4 linked regions of the Arabidopsis thaliana genome follow. The protein of the gene in region 2 interacts with the protein of the main gene of each other region in a pairwise test. Each region holds a gene or a part of one and is shown on either strand. Other genes may lie near its edges.

The links.
Region 1: the proteins of CAT9 (region 2) and GOS11 interact in a protein complementation assay, tested with the Arabidopsis thaliana proteins (one large-scale study listed by BioGRID).
Region 3: the proteins of CAT9 (region 2) and NHX1 interact in a protein complementation assay, tested with the Arabidopsis thaliana proteins (one large-scale study listed by BioGRID).
Region 4: the proteins of CAT9 (region 2) and AAP8 interact in a protein complementation assay, tested with the Arabidopsis thaliana proteins (one large-scale study listed by BioGRID).

Annotation. Positions count from the first base shown.
Region 1 is NC_003070.9:5,457,887-5,461,969, forward strand, and holds GOS11 (golgi snare 11), read right to left. Parts: upstream 2,474-4,083; 5' UTR 2,204-2,473; coding exon 2,165-2,203; intron 1,915-2,164; coding exon 1,675-1,914; intron 1,477-1,674; coding exon 1,312-1,476; intron 1,182-1,311; coding exon 1,068-1,181; intron 946-1,067; coding exon 832-945; 3' UTR 512-831; downstream 1-511. Other genes in the region: AT1G15870 (Mitochondrial glycoprotein family protein), read left to right, coding at 1-102, 197-359; AT1G15885 (uncharacterized protein), read left to right, coding at 2,664-2,804, 3,084-3,209; AT1G15890 (Disease resistance protein (CC-NBS-LRR class) family), read left to right, coding at 3,520-4,083. UniProt on the Arabidopsis thaliana protein: Involved in transport from the ER to the Golgi apparatus as well as in intra-Golgi transport. It belongs to a super-family of proteins called t-SNAREs or soluble NSF (N-ethylmaleimide-sensitive factor) attachment protein receptor.
Region 2 is NC_003070.9:1,800,604-1,805,566, forward strand, and holds CAT9 (cationic amino acid transporter 9), read right to left. Parts: upstream 3,398-4,963; 5' UTR 3,340-3,397; coding exon 3,090-3,339; exon of another isoform or gene 3,005-3,089; coding exon 2,595-3,004; intron 2,516-2,594; coding exon 2,339-2,515; intron 2,268-2,338; coding exon 2,043-2,267; intron 1,931-2,042; coding exon 1,754-1,930; intron 1,658-1,753; coding exon 1,421-1,657; coding exon of another isoform or gene 1,394-1,420; exon of another isoform or gene 1,072-1,393; coding exon 976-1,071; coding exon of another isoform or gene 958-975; exon of another isoform or gene 900-957; coding exon 762-899; 3' UTR 507-761; downstream 1-506. Other genes in the region: AT1G05930 (B3 domain protein (DUF313)), read left to right, coding at 246-330; AT1G05950 (uncharacterized protein), read right to left, coding at 3,970-4,121, 4,213-4,279, 4,349-4,503, 4,584-4,650, 4,766-4,963. UniProt on the Arabidopsis thaliana protein: Permease involved in the transport of the cationic amino acids.
Region 3 is NC_003076.8:9,551,637-9,558,104, reverse strand, and holds NHX1 (Na+/H+ exchanger 1), read right to left. Parts: upstream 4,806-6,468; 5' UTR 4,338-4,805; intron 3,995-4,337; 5' UTR 3,855-3,994; coding exon 3,690-3,854; intron 3,618-3,689; coding exon 3,499-3,617; intron 3,078-3,498; coding exon 2,980-3,077; intron 2,869-2,979; coding exon 2,809-2,868; intron 2,722-2,808; coding exon 2,675-2,721; intron 2,583-2,674; coding exon 2,388-2,582; intron 2,299-2,387; coding exon 2,252-2,298; intron 2,162-2,251; coding exon 2,095-2,161; intron 2,009-2,094; coding exon 1,908-2,008; intron 1,819-1,907; coding exon 1,578-1,818; intron 1,490-1,577; coding exon 1,427-1,489; intron 1,346-1,426; coding exon 1,262-1,345; intron 1,169-1,261; coding exon 839-1,168; 3' UTR 511-838; downstream 1-510. UniProt on the Arabidopsis thaliana protein: Acts in low affinity electroneutral exchange of protons for cations such as Na(+) or K(+) across membranes. Can also exchange Li(+) and Cs(+) with a lower affinity.
Region 4 is NC_003070.9:3,264,253-3,269,339, reverse strand, and holds AAP8 (amino acid permease 8), read right to left. Parts: upstream 3,455-5,087; 5' UTR 3,368-3,454; coding exon 3,043-3,367; intron 2,362-3,042; coding exon 2,268-2,361; intron 2,154-2,267; coding exon 1,939-2,153; intron 1,841-1,938; coding exon 1,698-1,840; intron 1,460-1,697; coding exon 1,232-1,459; intron 1,040-1,231; coding exon 614-1,039; 3' UTR 517-613; downstream 1-516. Other genes in the region: AT1G10000 (Ribonuclease H-like superfamily protein), read left to right, coding at 4,552-5,087. UniProt on the Arabidopsis thaliana protein: Amino acid-proton symporter. Stereospecific transporter with a broad specificity for glutamate, aspartate and neutral and acidic amino acids.

The sequences.
Region 1 (4,083 bases), 3.7 Mb from region 2:
GATCATGTGTTCTGCTTGGCCTGATACCATACAGATCACCAAGTTCTTTGTTCGTAAAAGCAGCCAGAACTCACCAAATGCCTATATTGGACCTGAATTCCAGTACTGTGATTTGATCACTTCTTTTTTAAACATAAACATTTTCTTTTTGTTTCTGATACGATGGAACTAAACTGTCTTTTGTTCAATTTTACAGGGAAATGGAAGATGAACTTCAAGACTCGGTTTATCGATTTTTGGAGGAAAGAGGTATAAGTGATGATCTTGCTGAGTTCTTGCATCAGTACATGAAGAACAAAGATAAAGCTGAGTATATTAGATGGATGGAGACTGTTAAATCTTATGTTGAGCAAAAATAAAATCTTCTGCCGACCACATTCTTAAGCAGCCAATGAATGTTCCCTTGGATATATGATTATATGGCTTAGATGGACTTTTATTGGCATGGTTCTTAGTTTCCAGAGGTAATGTGACATTTAAATCTAATATGGATTAGTTGCGAGCATATATATGATAATGATTATATTAAAGCCGTATTGCATGTAGGCGCCATGTACCCTTTTCAATGCAGCAACATACTCCCACAAATAAAAAGTTACAAGATGAGAGAAACAGATGGTTGTACTGTATGTGTGGCATCTCCAAAATAACTCAACATTTAACAAGCTCGTCTAGACTGCAAAGACAGGGATGAAATTTTCTGTACACAATATTTATGTTTTTGATCTTTAGATTCTTTACTAGAACACCGATAATTGCAGAACAAATTGACATCATGGGAAAACCAGACGTGGCCCAACATAAAGATGAAACGAAAGAAATGGGCAAATTCTACTTGGTTATCCAGTAAATGAATATGAGAAATGTGCATACAGCCGCAACGAGTGAAAGAATGATTGTATCCATCGACTTTTTCCTCTTTATCGCTGCCAGAATAGTGTTCACCTGCAGTGGTTTTAACCATCCAATTGCAGGGTGAGATATAGGATAAACACAGGCCATAACCGAACATAAAGAAAGCAACGAGCAAAAGAGTGTGTAAATAAGACTAGGAAAGCTCTTCGTACCGTAGGTAGACGGCTGGCGACATTGCTAAGCTTTGAGTTGATGCCTCCAAAAGTTGAACGTTGAAACACAAGCGTACCGAGTGTTGCCTGAGCTTGTGAAATGACACCGTCCATCTGCACCGTTTATATAATAGTCAGCTCACATAAGTCATGACGTGTTCGATTAACTTGAGAAAGCCAGGCCTATTGTACGCTACAGCTGTAGAGTCTAACAAAGGTTAATCGCAAAGGAGAGTTTATATACCTGAGCTGTATTGCGGTTGATTCCCATATGTTCCTTGATCAGGGCTTGTTCAGACCCATATCCATCTTCTAAATCTAATCTAGTCCGATCAAATTCTCTAAAGTCCTCAAGAAGTGAAGCATGCTCTTGTTTTGCTCTAAGACTGGAGCGGTGTCGATAAAACTCCTGCATTTTGAATGAGTCATACATACAGGAACAAGACTGATTTACAACGAAGGTTGAGTCATAAACTAGTCCAAGAGCAGAGTGTGAACAGATGGTTAAAAAGATAACACTCATTTCATTACTAATCAGTATATAATCAACACAAGCTATAGAATAAGGCAAATATTCAAATGGTATGAGTCAGGAAAGGAACAGTACCTGTGTCAGATCTTGAAGGATCTCTTGATGTCGAGTTAAAGTATGGGAGACCATTTCTGACCCACCAGAAGATACCCATGCTTGCATCTGAGCATTAACTTGTTGCAGTTGCCTAAGAAGTAAGTCAATCCCAGCTTCAAGATCACTCTCATTACCATCTGATTTTGATAAAGCCTTTGTGGAAACAAGTCTACGATATGAATGCATCTGCTCGTCAAGCTGAGCTTCAATCTTTCTAGCCTGTGGGATTCAATACAACACAAAGCTTATTCAAATATCAATTGGATCCAGTAAAAAGATAAATCATTGAGAATTAGCCAACAAAACCAATAAATTCCCCAATTCGAATCGAACCCAGAAGATTGATATCAATTCAGACCTCAAATATTCGAAATTCAAGACAGATTTTCAGACACTACCAGCTTCCCCAACACAATTACCTAGTAGCTTCGAATCAAACGACACAATAATTTTATAAAAAGAAAAATACCTGTTTCCGTAAAGCATCCCAAGAGCTAGGCACATCCATGGCGTCTACTGAATCTGTCAAAATCTCTCCTTTATGAAAGCGGATCGTGTCCTTTCCGGCAAGAGACCTTTTTCCGATATAAATCAGATGCGACAATCTTCTTCCTCGTCCTCGTCACCAAAGGTTTGAGCCCCTAAAAGATGCGATCCAATTGGTTCGAAATTGAGACAAGTAGTGAACGGAACGGATCGGATTGAGAGAAGGATAGAGTTGGTTCGGAGACGCAGACAGAATTTCTGCGTACCCCTTCAACGGAAAATTGCTTTTCAGTTTTGCGTAATCACAAATTAATTAATTCGATGACCTGAGATTCGGCGGGTATAATCCAGTGTTTTCCACCCTACAGTAAGTTTATATATAAGTTGACCTACACATTTAGTCAAACTTGCAAGCGATACGTGGATAATAGTAAACCTTAACATAAACGACATCGTTCTCCAGTAAAAATAGACCCGGCTCGATGGCTCGAGTCCTAGAAGCTTACCGGGTTCTCTCATCAAACTGCTCCATTCGGATATACTTCCACTCTCAAGTCTCACTCCCTCACAATCAATTCAAGCGATTGCCGCCCGTCGTCGCTTTCAAATTTGTTCTTCCGCCGGTAACTAATTCTCTTTCGCTTTGACTACGCTTTTGCTTCACTGCTTCGATCTCGTTCGGTTTCCTTCTGTTTGCTTCTTCAGAAATTCCTCGAATTGCTTTTGATCAATCTCAACTCAATCTGTGGATTACTATTTCATCGTGTTTTCACTTGTTGGTGCTCGGGAAAATTATGCAATTTTTCGAGTTGTTAATGGCTTTAGTTCTTCGTGTTTGCTCTTTAATGAATTACGAACTTTTTCCAAAGAGAAATAAGGTCTATTTTTTTTGGTGAAAGTAGGAGATTTTTTATGGCGGAGGGACAATTGACGAACATATCGGAGATGATACTGAAGAAGAGGAAGAAAGGGATGAGCTTGAATTGAGTAATTACGGCAACAATTACAGTAGCAGAGTGTTACATTAGTTGAAAGTTGAAAGATAGTTGTGCTCTTCATATTTTTTTATGGTCAATATCATTTTGTGGATAGAAAACTTTATCTTATAGTTTCTTAATGTTTGATGGTCAATGTCATTTTGTGGATATCTGAACACGCATCTTGACTTTTCGTTGAAGCTGCCACTTTCAATAAGATATTAGAACTTGCAGTCTGACTTTTAAATTTTCTAATCAATATCAGGAGGGCACGATTGTACTCTTTTTCCTCTTCTCCATTCAGTGCTCCTTATCTTGTGTTGTTTCCTGCATCGTCTTGATATTTGAAAGTTTGAGTAAGATGGGAAACTGTGTAGCACTAGAAATATCTTGTGATCAAACGTTGAATCATGCTTGTGGCTGCTTATTTGGTGATCGGAATTACATTCTCAAGATGGAGGCTAATCTCGAGGCTCTGCAGAATACTATGCAAGAGCTCGAGGAGAGAAGAGATGATCTGTTAAGAAGAGTTGTCATAGAAGAAGACAAAGGTTTGCAACGGCTTGCTCAAGTTCAAGGTTGGCTTTCAAGGGTTAAAGATGTTTGTTCTCAAGTCAATGATCTGCTGAAAGCTAAATCAATTCAAACTGAAAGGTTATGTCTCTGTGGATATTGTTCTAAGAATTTCATATCTGGCCGCAATTACGGAATAAATGTACTGAAAAAGTTGAAACACGTGGAAGGACTTCTAGCTAAAGGAGTTTTTGAAGTGGTGGCAGAGAAAATTCCTGCGCCTAAGGTGGAGAAGAAGCATATCCAAACCACAGTTGGGTTGGATGCAATGGTCGGAAGGGCATGGAACAGCCTCATGAAAGATGAACGAAGAACTTTGGGTCTTTATGGTATGGGGGGAGTAGGTAAAACC
Region 2 (4,963 bases):
ATCAGAACGGATTAACGAACTATATAAAACAACAAAGTCACTCTTTTCAGTTTTCATTCACAACAAAATCTTAATGGGGCTTCCACTTCTTCTTCATCGCCTTTTTCTTTAACCTTCTTCAAAACTACATTGCCGAGTCCAAGAAGACTCCATCTTTGTGTCTAACGGGAGACCACGAGCCCCAAGAGGCGTGTGGTGTCACCGAGAGGGGTAAATCAGAAAGACATCAGTCTTTGGTCTTTCAGGTGGCGTGGAATCCTCTGTTTTGCTCTTGTTCCTCCTCTTACATTGAGACAGAGTAGCTCTTCCAATGCTCGCCGTCTCTGCTAAGCTTCTTGTCTCTGTGGAGATTGATCTTCATTTGTACAGCCGGCTAAGTTGGGGCAATTCTAGAGGGTTTTGGTCTTACTACAATGCTAGAGGGTTTGGATGTCTGTTATTAGTAAGCTTGTTGTTTCTGATTCTATACTATGATCCGTTGAATAACTCTAACATTGAGTATGTTTATGTGAACATTGCTAGCTTCTGGGATTATTTGGTAGCACAAAAGCCATTTTCAGTCATTCAAGGCTTTAGTTGAAATGCACAAGCATACTTTTATTAACTTCTTTACAACAATAATGTTTAACTGCCTTATCCCATCCAATCCTTAAACTCGACCTGAATATGTATGTGACATACAGTATGTCTCTCACGAAACGCAGAAACTTGCTATCAACTCTACAAATGGCTTTAAGTAACACAACTATAATGTAGCATTACTAAGCGTCGCTTTCAGTTTCAGGTGCCCTCTGATAATCCAACATGCTCGGATCTGCGTGGTACTGCCCATACAAGGCATAAACGGCAGTTGCAAGCACACTGACAACAACAAATCTTATCCATGCTTCATAATGCAACTGCACAGTAGCGGAAAAATCAAAGGTAGATCATATGGTATGTGAAATTAGTATAAAGTTAGTTCTTAGCGTGTACCTGAGCAAATAAGAAGATGTTGAAGAAAATGCAAACGGATGGCACAATGGGTACACCAGGACAGCTAAACCCAGAACCTAGAGGCAGAGCATAAGCCTGGAAGCGAAAAGCTGAGGGGTTTAACATGAAGCATAGCTAGCAAGGCATTTGCCTGATTTGTGGAGACAACCATGAGGGTATATTTCCTAATTGATGTTAACAAACTTCTCCTCTAAACCAAGAATGCAAAGACTTCAATAGTCACAGACTTTCATAGTATCACTGTAGAGTTCTAAGTGCCAGAACATGCTAGTGGTGGTCTCTATTTTATGCTGTATCAGTAAAAGACTTAGTATCTAGCATTTTAACAGGGGTGAAACTTGGTTTTTTTATTTTATTTTTTTTGGCGCTATGAAATTAAGAAGAGTGTGCTATGGAATTAAGGCTTATACTTAAGGCTACTTACTTGGCGATAATGAAGAACTGCTGAAGCAACAACTGCCACACCAACTGAGAGGAGAATAAATATAACTGAAGCACTGAAACGGTAAAATACGCCAGCACCAAAACCACTGCATGCAATTATAACAAGGCAAATGACGCCTTCCTGCCAACTTGATGTCCATCTATTGGACGACTCTCTATCTTTTTTATCATTCAGTCTCAATGCCACAACACAAGCCGCAACAACTGAATACCCAGTCTGAAGAAATGGAACACCGAAAATAATGTTAAACTGGAAAGTATAAGTATCAATAAGAAAAGCAAAGAGATATTTAAAATTAAGACCTTGACGTACCAATGTACCAACAGACAGAATATGGGAAAGACTATGTACATTAAATATGCCAGCTAAAACGCCAGCTACAATGCCGCACCAGATTTGAGAATGAAGAGGTGTATGAAGAGTTGGGTGTATTCTGGAAAAGATTGAAGGCAATAGACCATCCCTTCCAAGTCCCAGATATAACCTGGACTGTTTATCCGAAATATCATATGATTACTCAAGAGTGTTACCTTGGTTTGCATAATATACAAGTACATAATAAAAGAAATTACAAAAGAAATACATATATATATATTATCACCTGAACATAAAGACCAACAAGCAGAGTAGTTGTGAGTCCAGCAACAGCACCAATACTGATTAAGATTGAGACGAACTTCATACCCTTTGATGAAAAGGCTTCAGCTAAAGGAGCATCTTCGCTGAGGAGGCTAAAAGGGACCATCCCGGTGAGCACCAAACATACGCCAATATACAGCGAGATACAAACCAGAAGGCTCCCCATAATTCCGATTGGCAAATCGCGCTGAACAAGAATTAAACAGACATAAGAGACTTTGTAGATAGTATGTACATTCAACATATATATAGGCAGACCTGAGGGTTCTTCGATTCTTCAGCAGAATTAGCAACTGCATCAAATCCAACATATGAAAAGAAGACAACAGTAGCTCCAGTGAGAACTGCTTTAAAACCATTAGGCGCAAAAGGAGACCAATTTGCTACATCAATTTCAAAAGCACCGGCACAAATCACAACGAGAACGATCACGACCTACAGAAGAAACAATATAGTGAAGAAGAGTTTTTTTTGGTAAAGATAAGAAGAGAAGGTTAAAAGGAAAGAAGCTTACCTTAGTAGCAGTCATAACGGAGTTGACAGCGGAAGATTCTCGCACACCTTGGCATAGAACAAGGGTCAAGAGAGCAAGTAAAATGGGAGCCAAAATATTCAAAGAGAGAAGCCCTCCCAAGAGCTCTTTGCCGCTTCCCATCCAGAGAGGAATAGAGCCCTTGAGGGCTGGAAAAAGCTCAAGAAGAGCAACAGCATAGCTGGCCAAGCTACGGGAGATACTAGCGGCGCCAATATGATAGTCAAGCATGAGTTGAACGAAAACAAGAAAAGCTGTGATCTCATTGAAAGCTGAGTAAGAGTACATGTAAGCTCCACCAACAACAGCAGGGAAACGAGATGAAAGTTCAGCATAACAGAGAGCGTTCAACACACACGATGCTCCAGCTAGCAAGAAGCTGATTGTGACTCCTAGGCACGCAACGGCAGCAATAATCACTAAGCGATTCTGAACGAATCAAGGAGGTGGTGAGAAAAAGTAATTCATTCAACTGACCAGGTCCAGCATCGCGAGCGACGGTTCCGGTGACGACGAAGACACCGGCGCCGATGGAAGCGCCGACGCCCAACAGTATGAGGTCGAAAAGGCCGAGGCGACGAACCAGAGAGTCGCCAGAGGTGGAGCGAACGGCAGTCTGCGAGGACGGAGGGGGCAGTGATTTAGATCGGAGAGCTGAAGCACGGAAATGAGAGAACCATGTGGCGGAGGAGAGGCGTTGGTTGCTGAAACCTTCGTGGCCTCCCATGGAAACTTCAATTTGAGAGTTGAAGATTGATCGAGACGATGACTGAAATCACCCCCGGGATAATCAGAATCCAAATCAATAAATATTGGGCCAACCATTGGGCCCAACAGAGACCACTTAAACCCAATAACCCTCTAATGAACTGAAAGCTCGCGACGACATCTGTCTTTGGGCCTTTAGGTGCGATGGAGTCCTCTGTTTTGCCATGAGACAGTATAGCTCCTATTTTCGTTGTTGACAAGTTTCTTGTGTCTGTTGAGATTCATATTGGTCTAATCTTTCAGGCCATTGTTGAGGTTTTTGGTCTAGTTAACAATATTAGGGTTTTTTTTTACTAGGATTTCTTTCATCCCTCTTTAGCACTTTGTTGGGTTTTTGAGTTTCTAGGATTGTTTTAAATGCAGGAGGCTTAGGATTAGGTTTTTAACATGATTCTGGTTCTACTTTAGTTTCTGCATCAGTTAATACCTTTGACTTCTTGTAATATATCTCAAAATCTCAACCAGAGGATGGAGTTTTGTACAAATCTTGCTATTCGTCCAAAATGGCCATACATATCAAAATCAGGGTTGTTTTCTACTCATGCTGGAAGTTAGTTTGGTTTCTGAGTTGTTCTTGAATCTCACATAATCATGATAAGTTGGCTGCTGTGTCGTGTTGTAACTTTGTTAGCAAGCAAGCTGCCGCAGATTCCCTAGCTTCCTCAGCATCAGACTTTTCCTCTCCATGTATTGTACATGCGACATGATTCCCCGTGATTCTTACTTCAGCTTCATATCCACCTTTTTGAACAAAGCATCAACATCAACATGCAAATCTGAAGGGAGTAATGGAGCTGAACTACGAGTTTGGCAAATGATCTCAAAACTTTACCATCTGATGGAGCCACACGATAGTTTGGTAGTACCCAGTTATTCATGAGACAGATATCATCGAGTCTCTGCAATAAATAGGGGCAATGAATCTTAATTCTTTGAACAAGAAATGATTAAAGTAACCATAAACTAACCTGACACAGACTTTTAGTAGAAGGAAGAGTTTCACTGAGCTTCAGCCTCTTGTTGCTTTGGCATGCTGACTTGTCAAGAGATTCTTGAAGGTTACGCCTCGGGTATGTCTCGTTACAGCACTCGAGTACTGTTTCTAATTGCAGCTCCCAATCACCTATAACACCCACGAGATCACTAAGATTCATGTAAAAACAAAGCTGTGCAGAAAGGAAAAGTATATGTATATATACATACCTTTGATGTTCTGGATGCATTTATCACATTTAGCAATCTCGTCTTCTATGTTCCTCTGTTGACGAGTCTGCAGCCAGAGAAAAAGAGAGCAGCTCTTAATCATAAAATAAGGATATATATGCTATTGCCAATCAGTTTTTTTGCTGTGTTGTGTATCTTTGATCAAATTCTACAGTTATTACCAGTTTATCTCGTTTGCAAAGAAGAACTTTCAATGCAGTTTCGGATAGTGATGTTGCTTTAGAAAGAAGAGACGTCTGTAGCTCCTCAAGATTTGGATTAGAGTTATGAGCAGAAGCAGGAGTTGAATTAAGCTTATGAATGCTATTAAGTCTGTCAGGAACAGCTTTCTTCCTCTGGAGACCTCTTTCTTTAAGTTC
Region 3 (6,468 bases), on a different chromosome or scaffold from region 2:
TCTTCGAATTAAATATTTGACATTTAACAATCTTCCCAAAATCTCTCCACATTAACTACACGATTATTTACTAAAATAATACTTCTAAAATATTTAATATCATTTAATTACTACAAAATTATCATTTTTGATATTGCTTTTCTCCATAACTATAACAATTCGATTATAATCATCAAAGCGAAGAGATATAATCTGATAGCATTTAATTACTACAAAATTACAAAATATTTAGACAATGATTCATAAACATATCATAAATAAGATCAACATTAATAAAATAAATGGTTTTCTTTTTTACAGGACGGGTTTGGCAGGATGTTACTTAATAACATTTGTAAACTATAAAATAAAATTATTTTATAAATAGATACAATTTGTAAACTTTTATATATACTAACTTTAAAAAATAAATTGTTCCCGCGGTATACCGCGGGTTAAAATCTAGTTAGATTATAAGTTTCAAGACCTACCAAATTTTGATATCATTAGCCATTAGGTTCACTAAATTTTTGTTTTGACATAAAGAAATAATTCTTTATTAATATTTTTGTCCGAAATCGAACCAAACCGTACCAATCCGATCCTCAAGTTCGAAGCAAAAACCAAATTCAAAACATAAACAAATGTGTAGTTTGTGTTACAACAAAACAAATATGAATATAATTACATACATCAATCAAACACTTCAAAGTTGCCATGTTTTGCTTTCTGCTCTCAAAACGTTAGGACAGATTTCTGTCCTCACAAACAATATTACAAATGGATAATTTACACAAAAGCATAATTTGAATCACCCTTTTCTACCAAAAAAAATCAAAGCTTTTCTTCCACGTTACCCTCAAGCCTTACTAAGATCAGGAGGGTTTCTCTCAGTTGGAGAACCTGGAACAAAGGGTACAAAGCCACGACCTCCAAAGACGGGTCGCATGAAGGAGTCATCAAATTGTCTCCAGTAGTAATGCACGGTTCGAGTGGGCCGTGTCAAGAAGCCACGTATACTGTCAGGCCGAGGCACATTGTGGTTCCCTGAAGGCTCAATGAACGAGTCTTGGTCCAACAAAGGGATATGTATGGATTTTGGGGTGTTGTCATCAGATAACATGCTCGTGGTGGCGTTCTGGTGCGGTAATAGGTAGCTTATGAGTGGTTTGGTCAGCATACCAAACACCTGAAAACAAGGTTCAAGAGAATCTATTAACCAAATGTCCAATTCAATTAAGAAATATTATGTAACTCATTTGATCATCCAGAGATTTCTTACCACTGTGCTAAAAAGACAGACAGTTATCGTACTCGTGATCATGATTGCATTCCCGCGTACATCTGTGTGCCCGGCCCTTGTAAACTACAATAGAAACAAGTGTTAAATGATGATTTGTGTCATTTGAAGCTTCATAGAGAGTATTTAAAGACATTCTTTTTATACCTTGTTGTATGCAAGAGCCATAGATACAGCACCTCTCATGAGACCAGACCACCAAATCACAACCTAAAGAATGGGAAAAAATGATAGATATAAATAGCTGAAATCCAGAAGAATTATTGAATCTATTAGTACCAAGTAGAATGATACATACCTGCATGTTAAAGTTGATTTTCTCGCTTTGATTCTTCTTGGCTAAGTTAGATAGAAACGATAACGGAAAGACGAACGCTGCTCTTCCAACCATGACCAGACCCATTAGGATTGAGCTCACTGCGATCGATGTTCCCGGTGTGTCACTCACGGATCTCCACTTGTCAATGTCCAAGGCATCCATTCCAACATACAAGAAAATAAATGTCTCCGCAAGAAATGACAAAGTTGCAAAGGTATGCCTGTTTCATCGAAAAAAATCATAAGATAATCATTGGGAGGTAGAAAGTGTTAATCTCAGCAAAAGGCGGAGAAACTAAAGTTTGCATACTTTGTTGTTATTCTTGAGCTCTCCGTTACATTGTGCCATGTGTAATGGGACATCACAATACCACAGAAAAACACAGTGAGGATACCGCTCAAGTCGAAAAGCTGCAACCAAATTAATATAACATCAATATAATTTGTGTTTGAATGCAACTGAATGAATATGTTCGTGTTATTTAAAAGAATCTAACCTCAGCAAGCATATAAGAAAGATACGCCATAAGCATCATAAGGGCAACCTCTCGGTCAGTTGAGTGCCTGTGACAATTAATGTGAGGCCATCTACGTTAGACCAAACAGGAAACAACTTAAAGAAAACAAGTCACATATATGACGTTAAATATGTACCTTCCAAAGTATAGCTTCTTGATAACATACGCACTTATCAGACCGGTCTGCAAGATGAATAACAAAGATGTGAACACCAGAGCGTGCATATAGCAGCTACAAGAAAGAATGGCAGGGAAGAAAACAATGGACTTACTGCAGCACCAAGCAAGGTACTTAGGAGAAACAAATACAAGAAGTTTCCAAGAAGATGAAAAGCAGCTTCGTGGTTTAGGTGAGTGAGATCAAAGCTCTGAATCGCGTTGAAGACCACAACTGACGTTGCATCATTCACAACACCCTCTCCGAATACAAGACTGTAAAGCAAAGGTGTCTCGTCTTGATTCAGAACCTATATCACAACACAACAGGAACAGAAACTTTCGGTCCACTATGTTTCAGGGTTTGTAAGTAATTTAAGTCATGTTGGAGAAAACACATTACCTGCAGTGTACATACTGAATCTGTTGCAGCAAATATGGCACCAATAGCTGAGATTCAAACACCAAAAACAAATCAAGTCTCCCGATTAAGTAAAGCAATAGGAACCAAAAAGAAGCCATTAGTTCAGGCCTTACCAAGATAATCACCCAAGTCAAAGGTTCCAATGTCCAACTTCTTAAAGAACTGTGTTACACCTGTTTCAAGAACCACCAGAAAATCAGTAGAGATATACAAAACTATCTCGACCTAATCCAAAAAGCCGCATTCAGCGGTGTTTCAGCCAATCGTAAAGCGAAGTAACCTACCTAGAGATATGATTGTGCAAGAAATAATAGTCCCAACAGCACCAAAAAGCATAATAGTCACGAAATTGCGGAAAAACTGCTTCTTTTTTACTTGAAACCTGAAATAGACAACAACAAATCTGAGAAAGATCCATGACAAAGACAAATCCAGGACCACACTTACTTGCACGTGTATAAATCTAACTACTTCAAAAAAAGACATCATGCCCTCTTTTCTTTATAACAATCACAAGTACTAGAAAAAGTTGATGTATGACAGGTATTTATAGAAGTAGAGCTTAAGCTTACTAATCAACATCTTTAAAGCGTTGTACTAACTTTATCACCTAGAATCACATAATGCATACTTTTCAAAACTAAGTTTTTTCTTTCAATCTGTTTTATGTAACTTTTGTAGGTAAAACCCGTGCAACTAAACGTATCATATAGCATGAGACCCTACCAAACTAAGTCCTACATTAAAAGATATATCCCAACATAGAGGAAAAGGCTCAAATGGATGTAAAAAAAAAGACTGACCCTGCATTGAATATAATGGGTGGCAAAAGATATATGAAGAAAAGATCTTCACTAAAGACGAGAAGATGCGAGCTTTTTCCTTTACTAATCAACAAAATGGTAACACCAGTGCCTAGCCCCTGCAACCAAATAGCTCAAATGTCATTCAAGTTGGAACTCAGTAATTACTCTTTTCAATTGAGTGAACTTACAATCAACAAGGCGGTGATGGATTCGTTCATCCATCTATTCTCTTCCAAAAGATGACCAAGAACAATACAAGCACAAAGAAGTGCAACAAAGAGATTCAACGCAACCACAGAAGCGTGATCAGATGTCGATAACGAAGGCAGTTTCGACACTAGAGAATCCAACATTGTTATCTTCTTCTAGATCCAACAAACTTCCTCTTTCCAGATTTGATCCAAGAACATGAACAACTATTCAGATTTTGGATCAGCAAAATCTGGAAAAAAAAGTCTCTTTTATCTTTCCGTGCTGTCCACTGAAACCATTCCTGTTTTCAAGAAAACAGAGCTGAGACTAAACAGTGAAGCTGTGTAATGTATAGCATGAATCAGCTTTGACTATAAAAAACACACAAAAAGTGAATCCAAATCTGAGACTTTTGATACAAACAACAAAAAGCACAAATCCCACAAAAGGCTAATATTATTAAATGATGACAACATAAAACCAAATTCTCAAAATTTCCTATTTTTGGTAATAGCACAATATGAAATTAGGTCGGAACTTTAATAACCCAGATTTCAAATATCTCCCAACAACAAACAACAAACACAAAAACTTCAAATGAAAAAAAAAAAAAAAATTGGTGGATCTGATCTGAATTGCTTTACCTTGAACAACTTCTGGGTAATCTAAATATCTTCAGTCTGATTTACAAAAGAGCCCAGAAGATCAAAATTCAAAATTTTGGAAGCTTCGAAAGCTAAAACCTGAGATTCTTCTTCTTCTTCGTCTACGAGGAACGAAACAGAGAGGCGAATTCGAAAATTGAAGGAATTGGGGAAGAAAAAAAAGGAGAAAATTACGGGACTGAGGAAATTATACGAAATTTCGATTTTTTACTGGAAATAGAGAGAGACGTGTACGGTCCCTTTTTAAGAGAGAGGGAGATAGAGAAGAGAGAAGATTCCAATTTCTAAACACAGTAGAGAGAGAAATATAAGTTACGAATAGGAGAGAGATAGAGTGTATGTATTATTCTCTGTTGTGTAAATGAAAGTACAAATGGCGAATTTATAGCCGTTGATTTAAAGTTACTATCTGAGATCTGAACAGTTTAGTGTTTGGATTTATTGTGGAACTTATCGTAGACGATAAAACCTGACTGTACTAAGATTCATGATTTATCTATTTGATTTGTCGAGTACTTTTGGTTTTGAAGACAACAAGTTTTTTTTGGGTCACCGTTTTATTTATTTTTTTGGAATTTTCTTCACCTTGATGCTGAACTTTTTTAAAATTCATAAAAAACCTAAATACATAGTGAAACTCTGATGCAGTAAAAGAAAATATTATATGGATGAATTTGTGTAGACGAAATTATTTATAAAAAAAAAGCGTTAATGGCAAACTCAATGAACCAAAACAAAAAAAAACAAAATTTTATCATGATTTCACCTTTATTTTTGGTATCATTTCTTCTAATTTTATTAGAGATATACATTTTAGGATATATATATATATATATATATATATATGAAAATGGCAATGAATTTTTTTATACAAGGTTACTATTTTCCTTATCCTTTATCAAAAAAGGTTAATTTCTCATAAGATAAATTAGGTTATAGGGATCAAAATCTCACAGAAAGCAACAATGATTTAAACTTGACCAAGCGTTGTTACCTCAATTGGTAAAGATCCTAGGCGAAACTTAGAGGTCGTTAGTTCGAGTGATGTTTGGGACGAAACTAATATTACATGTTGTGGTTTCAGGCCTGAAGGGATTACGGGTTTCGGCCCAGAACCTCCTGATATTCCGAAAAAAAAAAAAAAAAAAAAAAAAACTTAAATATAAAACTATATTTCATTCTATTAATTGTTAATTAGTTTAGATAATAACAACTCATGAAATCATTAGATTAGTGCCGGTCTGCCGGATATGCTCCTAGCTAAGTCTATGTCATAACATATAGAATCGACTAGTTAATTATCGTGGTTCTACCATTTATAGTTTACCAGATCATACTGTATGCTTGAAAATTGATAATCTTTCGGAAATGAATTTGTTTTGAATATTCTCAAAAACGTGTTCATCTTAGTACCATATCTTTTTGTCATCAAAATGGTTACGGATCTTCTAGCGTTTAATCACCCTATTTGTTTTTTTGTAATATCATTGTTTTTGTTTTTGTCAACAACAAATATTAACATGTGAATTTATATTTTAGTAATAATATAATAACTATATTAGCAAAAACTATTACCCTACATATTTTGGTATTTTGTAATGTTGTTATTTTATTATTAAAAAATGTTTTTATTTTATTAAAATTTGAGAAGGATCAATTATTGAGTTATTGTTTATTCAATCTACGTGAGGATCTGAATCTAATTAATCATACAAACTCCAAAGTCTGTCCACGTCGTAGAAATTGTTTTAAAAAGCCCATCAAAATCTTTACAAAATAAAAAGTTTCGTTAAAATTGGATTACTATTTCAACATACAAAGTTTTCAAGTATTTAACGTGCAATTTAGTGCCAACCAAGAAAGATAATCTATTATTCTATTACATAGAAAAAGGATAATATTAACATATTTTACATACCGCCGACGAGACTCATAATTTAGATAAATGTTGTTATGTAATTGTTCTTACAAACAAATTGTTTTTATTATCACGGTTATGAAAATTAAATAAATTGTCTCATGGCTTTTCAAATATTTAAAAGGTCATGTCAAATAAAGTAGGGCCAAATTTCATATAGAGCTATCCACTTATTTTGGAATTAAAGATTAG
Region 4 (5,087 bases), 1.5 Mb from region 2:
TGCATCTCTTGGTTAGATGCGCCATATGGGTAGGTAACCGCAAGGCAATTGTTTGGTTACATGGCGGTTATGATGGTAGCCATCAAGTGACATACGACCACAAAACCTTGAAAATGACTTTGTAAGCAAATGCAGAGTAGAAACGTTAATAGAAAACCAAACTTGCCTTGATCCTCTATTGCCCAACTCCTCCAATACATAAGATGTGATAGCAACTTATGTAGGACACACCAAACCAAATAAATTACACAATCTGTGAGTGTCTGTTTTCAAGATTTCCCCGACAATTCCATTAAGCAAAATAAATAATAATAACTCGAAATTGACACAACCACACGAATTTGAAAAAAGCTGAAATCCATATCTCATGGGACTCAAACATCCAATGTTGATTCAATAATTGTAGTCCTAAAAATAAATCAATAACTAATACATTTTCATAAATTTTAGTACTAATACATAAGTTAGCATTTTGGTTTTTAACATAGCTGAAAACAGAACGTCACATTATTTGGAGAAACATTAAGTACTAAATATTTAGCATGAAATAAATTTCATATAATTCATATGGATCACAAGGTTTTTTTTTGGCAAACATAGATTATAAGTCACACTAGTCTAAATTCTTGAAGGGCTTGTATGACTTGACACTATTAATTAAGCCAATGATGGATCCTACGGCGGCAAGGGCCGAGACGATCAAGCAAACCAATACGAGGAGGTTCAAGGCCAACCATCTACGAGAATACTTCTTGACTTTAGCCTGCGCAATGTGCATTGCCACCGGAAAATAAACTGTGAGTGGCCAGAACGCGAATGCCCCTAGCAAACCCAAGATCGCATTGAAGAAGGGGAATATCATTGCTACAAATGTTGTCAAAACAACATAGCATGTCCTCCAAACCAGTCTGAAGAGGTTGACACGACATTTTCCAAGCAAAGGAACCTTTGACGAGTATTCTTTGTTGATGAAATTGCTTTGAGGCCATTTTTTGTTGCAGTTTTCCTCAACAAACTGGAAAAACGGCTGCGCATACACCTGCGAATAATACAGGGATAAAAAAAAAAAAAGAGCATTTTTTAGAAACAATATTTAGTAATAACTCCATTTCTACAATCTTCTGAATTGTTAAAGCTAAAAATTCTAACACAATAATGAGACTTTTAATGAACTTGAACACGGTAAATGTATGTTACACACTTATCCTATTCTTTTGTTTGTGAGTTATACCTGATAGGCACCTATTAGATGGAGAGCAATGCAAGCATTGGCAAAGTCGATGAGCCAATAAGGTTCGTAAAAACCAAAATCGGTAAGGAAGTCACCAGGGGCTTGGTTGCCGAACGCAGCATATCCGATGCAACCACACAAGATGTAGAAAACAGTTGTGGTTGAGACTCCGACAAGACTTGCTCGTTTCATCACTTTGTTCTCTGGTGGGCTTGATCTCAATGTGTCCTGCAAAATAAACAAGACATACTACTAGAGCGTCACTATCTTTAGAGCTTCACATATCTAAAATATGAAACTATTTTTATCCATCATCCATCCATCTATATTTTTTCCTAACTGTCTAATTAATAATAACATCTTATCTTCAAGGTATTCTTATTTTACCTCTCTTTGGCGAAATTAATAATAACAAGCAAATGAAAACAATAGTAAACGGAAGATAGTAGGAATCAGTAGTACATGCCTGAATCTCGATGAGAATAGTGGTAAAAGCGTATGAAAAGGCAATGTCTCCAATCGCTTGAAACAATTTCCAAACTTTTTCAGACGCAGTTACGTCCACACCTATCACTGTCCCTGTCAATTCTGTCTTACCAATCTTCCCACCTTTCATATATATTGTATACCATTTTCACGGTTAGTGTCAACTTTGAAGAATCATCCATATAAACCACTATGTTTTAAGATAAAGAAGGGGAATGTACTTGCTACAGTAGCGATGGCTAGGCCTATTCCGATAGACGCATAAGAGAAGGACATAACCGCGGCGATGATGGATAGGAAAGAGAGCTTGTGGAAGTTAGGAAGCTGGCTCAGAATGATCTGGACGATCCCAAATGCCGCCATGTATGGATAATTCGATACAGAACATTTCGCTTTATGTCCCTTGTCATGATAACAATTTGATTTCCCAATCGCTCTAACGAAGACGTACAAAAACACCAATCAAACAATTATTAGTAATTTTATTCAGAACAACATGTTAGTATAACCATAACAAAATAATCGAAATAAATCAGAATCTTTGACTTACACTAAGCTTATGGAGGCAGTGATGGTGTAACCAATAGTGACCCCTACGAGATTCACGTACTGTGCCACTCCACATAGCTGAACCTTTTTACCACCTGCGTTTTATGTTATTAAAGAAGAAAAATGATTACTCTTGTACTACTATCAAATACTACCAATCTTTTGGTCTTATGGCAAAGTTTCTAAACATCCCGCATAATTCCAAATTTTCAACGAGGGGTCAACAATCGAATTTATAACATTCTTTAACGGGATAAATTGAATTGACTATGTTACCAATCCTAATCAATTTAATTTATTAACTAAGTTATGAAAGAATGAAGATTATCTTCCTTTTTTTTATATAGATTTTGATAATTAATTCATATCTTCCCATGAAAGAGCATGCACACTTGGCAAAATCGTAAATCATTTTTTTCTAACAACCATATTTTTTTCTTTCATTGTTCAACAACAATAATGTTCTTCAACAAATTTACATGGTAAAAAATTGTTGAAATGAGCCAATTATACTGTAGATTTACAAATTCCAACTTAGCATTAAATATATATTTTTAGATCAGATTTTTTTTCTTTCGCCAGCCATCATCATTGTGACAGAAATGGAAGAAAATCAAAACACATGTCCTAAATTGAGACTAGTTAGGCAAAATCTAAATGATATCAAATGAACAAAATCCTTGTTCATCTGAGAAAAAATGTCTAGAAAACTGAAAAATCTGTGAAAAACAATGCTGATAAAGACACAAAATGAATTTGTTTATATGAATCCATACCAAGGTAAGATCGGACGACGCCCATGTAATTATAGTTGCGTGTTCCGGTGATGGAGTCCGGCGAACGGTAACAGTCGGCGAGCAAGGTGGACGTGTAGTAAGTAATGATGGCGAAAGCGACCAAAACTGTGGTTCCTGCCACCCAACCAAGCTGTGCTATAGCCCAAGCCAACGACAGCACCCCTGAGCCTATGACCGCCGTGATTATGTGCGCACTCGCCGTCCAAAATGTTCCCGTTCTCTTCTCTCGACCATCGTCGTCGACGCTTTTCACGGCGGCGTCACCCGACTCCACCGCCGAGGGATTGTTGTATGCGTCCATCATTGTGAGAGAACCACTGAACCAGAGGAGAGAAGAGAGGGGAAGAGAGTTATTGACAGAGGTCGTCTTATTAGAGTACTCCCTCACAATCACGTACTTACATGTATTATATACACAAATATCGATGTTTATATGGAAAGAGCATCTTTGTACGTTGAATCTTATTTATTAAGAGAATCTTCTATTACGAGGATTTATTTCTTTTGACTTTGATTTTGAATGTGTAACCACTATTGCTTATTCCGGAAACAAAAATTGGTCCGCATGTTGAAAAGAGGATTTACCTACATTAACGACACTACGAATAATCGAAATTAGGTAACTGATTAAAATTAGATGAGTAAAACAGAGAGATATTTCCTTCAGATCTTGGCCTCTTGCATAGCTATATCCTCTCTTCTATCTTGCTCATTTATCTTCTCAAATCCTCACATGCACATGATTCATTAATCGGGAAATTAAATCATTAACATTGAGTTATAATGATGTATTGATGTGAATCTATATATATATATTGTTGTATCAACTAAATATTATGATATATCTACAACATTTTGTTATTAGTATCGCATCAAATACAAAATTATGTGGATTTACATGTTTGTATTATATTTTACTACTATTTTAACGGTTTACAAAAACATGTAAACCAAACCATAAATTTCACTAATTTCAATTATGTACGATTTTGAGTCTTCATTACTTCTTATCGTTTCTTTCACTCTTATAGTCTTATCTCACAATCCGTAATTTGTGCACAATTAATGAATTCAATGTTGTATTTTGTCGTATTAAATATGGATTTTGACCAACATAAACCTGATTTTTTAGTGGATTATTTTAAAATATATCCACAAAATATTCCTTCGAATAAAATCCCATTCTAACTATATCCATAAAATGCCCATCCCAATTGTCGAGACAGAATCAGATATCTAAAATGACACATAATAAATGTCGCATATTACACCATTAAAGTACGGTACGTTGACCTCCTACCTGACTATGAACAGCTCATCAGACAGCTCCCTGTGCCCTCAAGTAGGGGTGTGGATAAATTGGTCTGGTTACCGGTAAAATCTGGAGAGTATACCTCAAGATCAGGTTACGGGGTAACATCCTTGACAGTGCTACCAACAGCTCAGGTCCGCTTTAACTGGCAAGCAAACCTTTGGAAACTCCACACTATGCCGAAGATCAAACTTTTCCTATGGAAGGCGGCTGCAGGAGCTCTCCCTGTGGGTGCACAACTCGTAAGAAGGCATATATCATCAACTTGGGATTGTGCACGCTGTGGGGCTCCGGAGACTTCCACCCACATGCTGTTTCACTGTGATTTTGCGGCACAAGTTTGGAACCTAGCGCCCCTCCAATTGGGTCACATCCCTATCGGTACCCCTATTTTGGAAGCTCTTAACTTACTTAAGAAAACCATCGTTCTCCCCCCGGTTGGGATTCATACAGCAACCCTCTTCCCCTGGATCTGTTGGCACATCTGGAAAGCCAGAAATCAGCTTATCTTCCAAAATTCTCATTTCTCTGTGATAGAGACTGTTACAAAGGCGGTTCAGGATGCCTTAGCGTGGCAATCCGCCCAATTGGCGCTCCCAAAAGTTCGTGTAGCGACCCCCCGCCCAAACTCCACAACAACTCTGACTCATGATTTTCTCTGCTACGTGGATGCGGCTTGGCAACAACAGAGCTCCCTCGCTGGCTCTGGCTG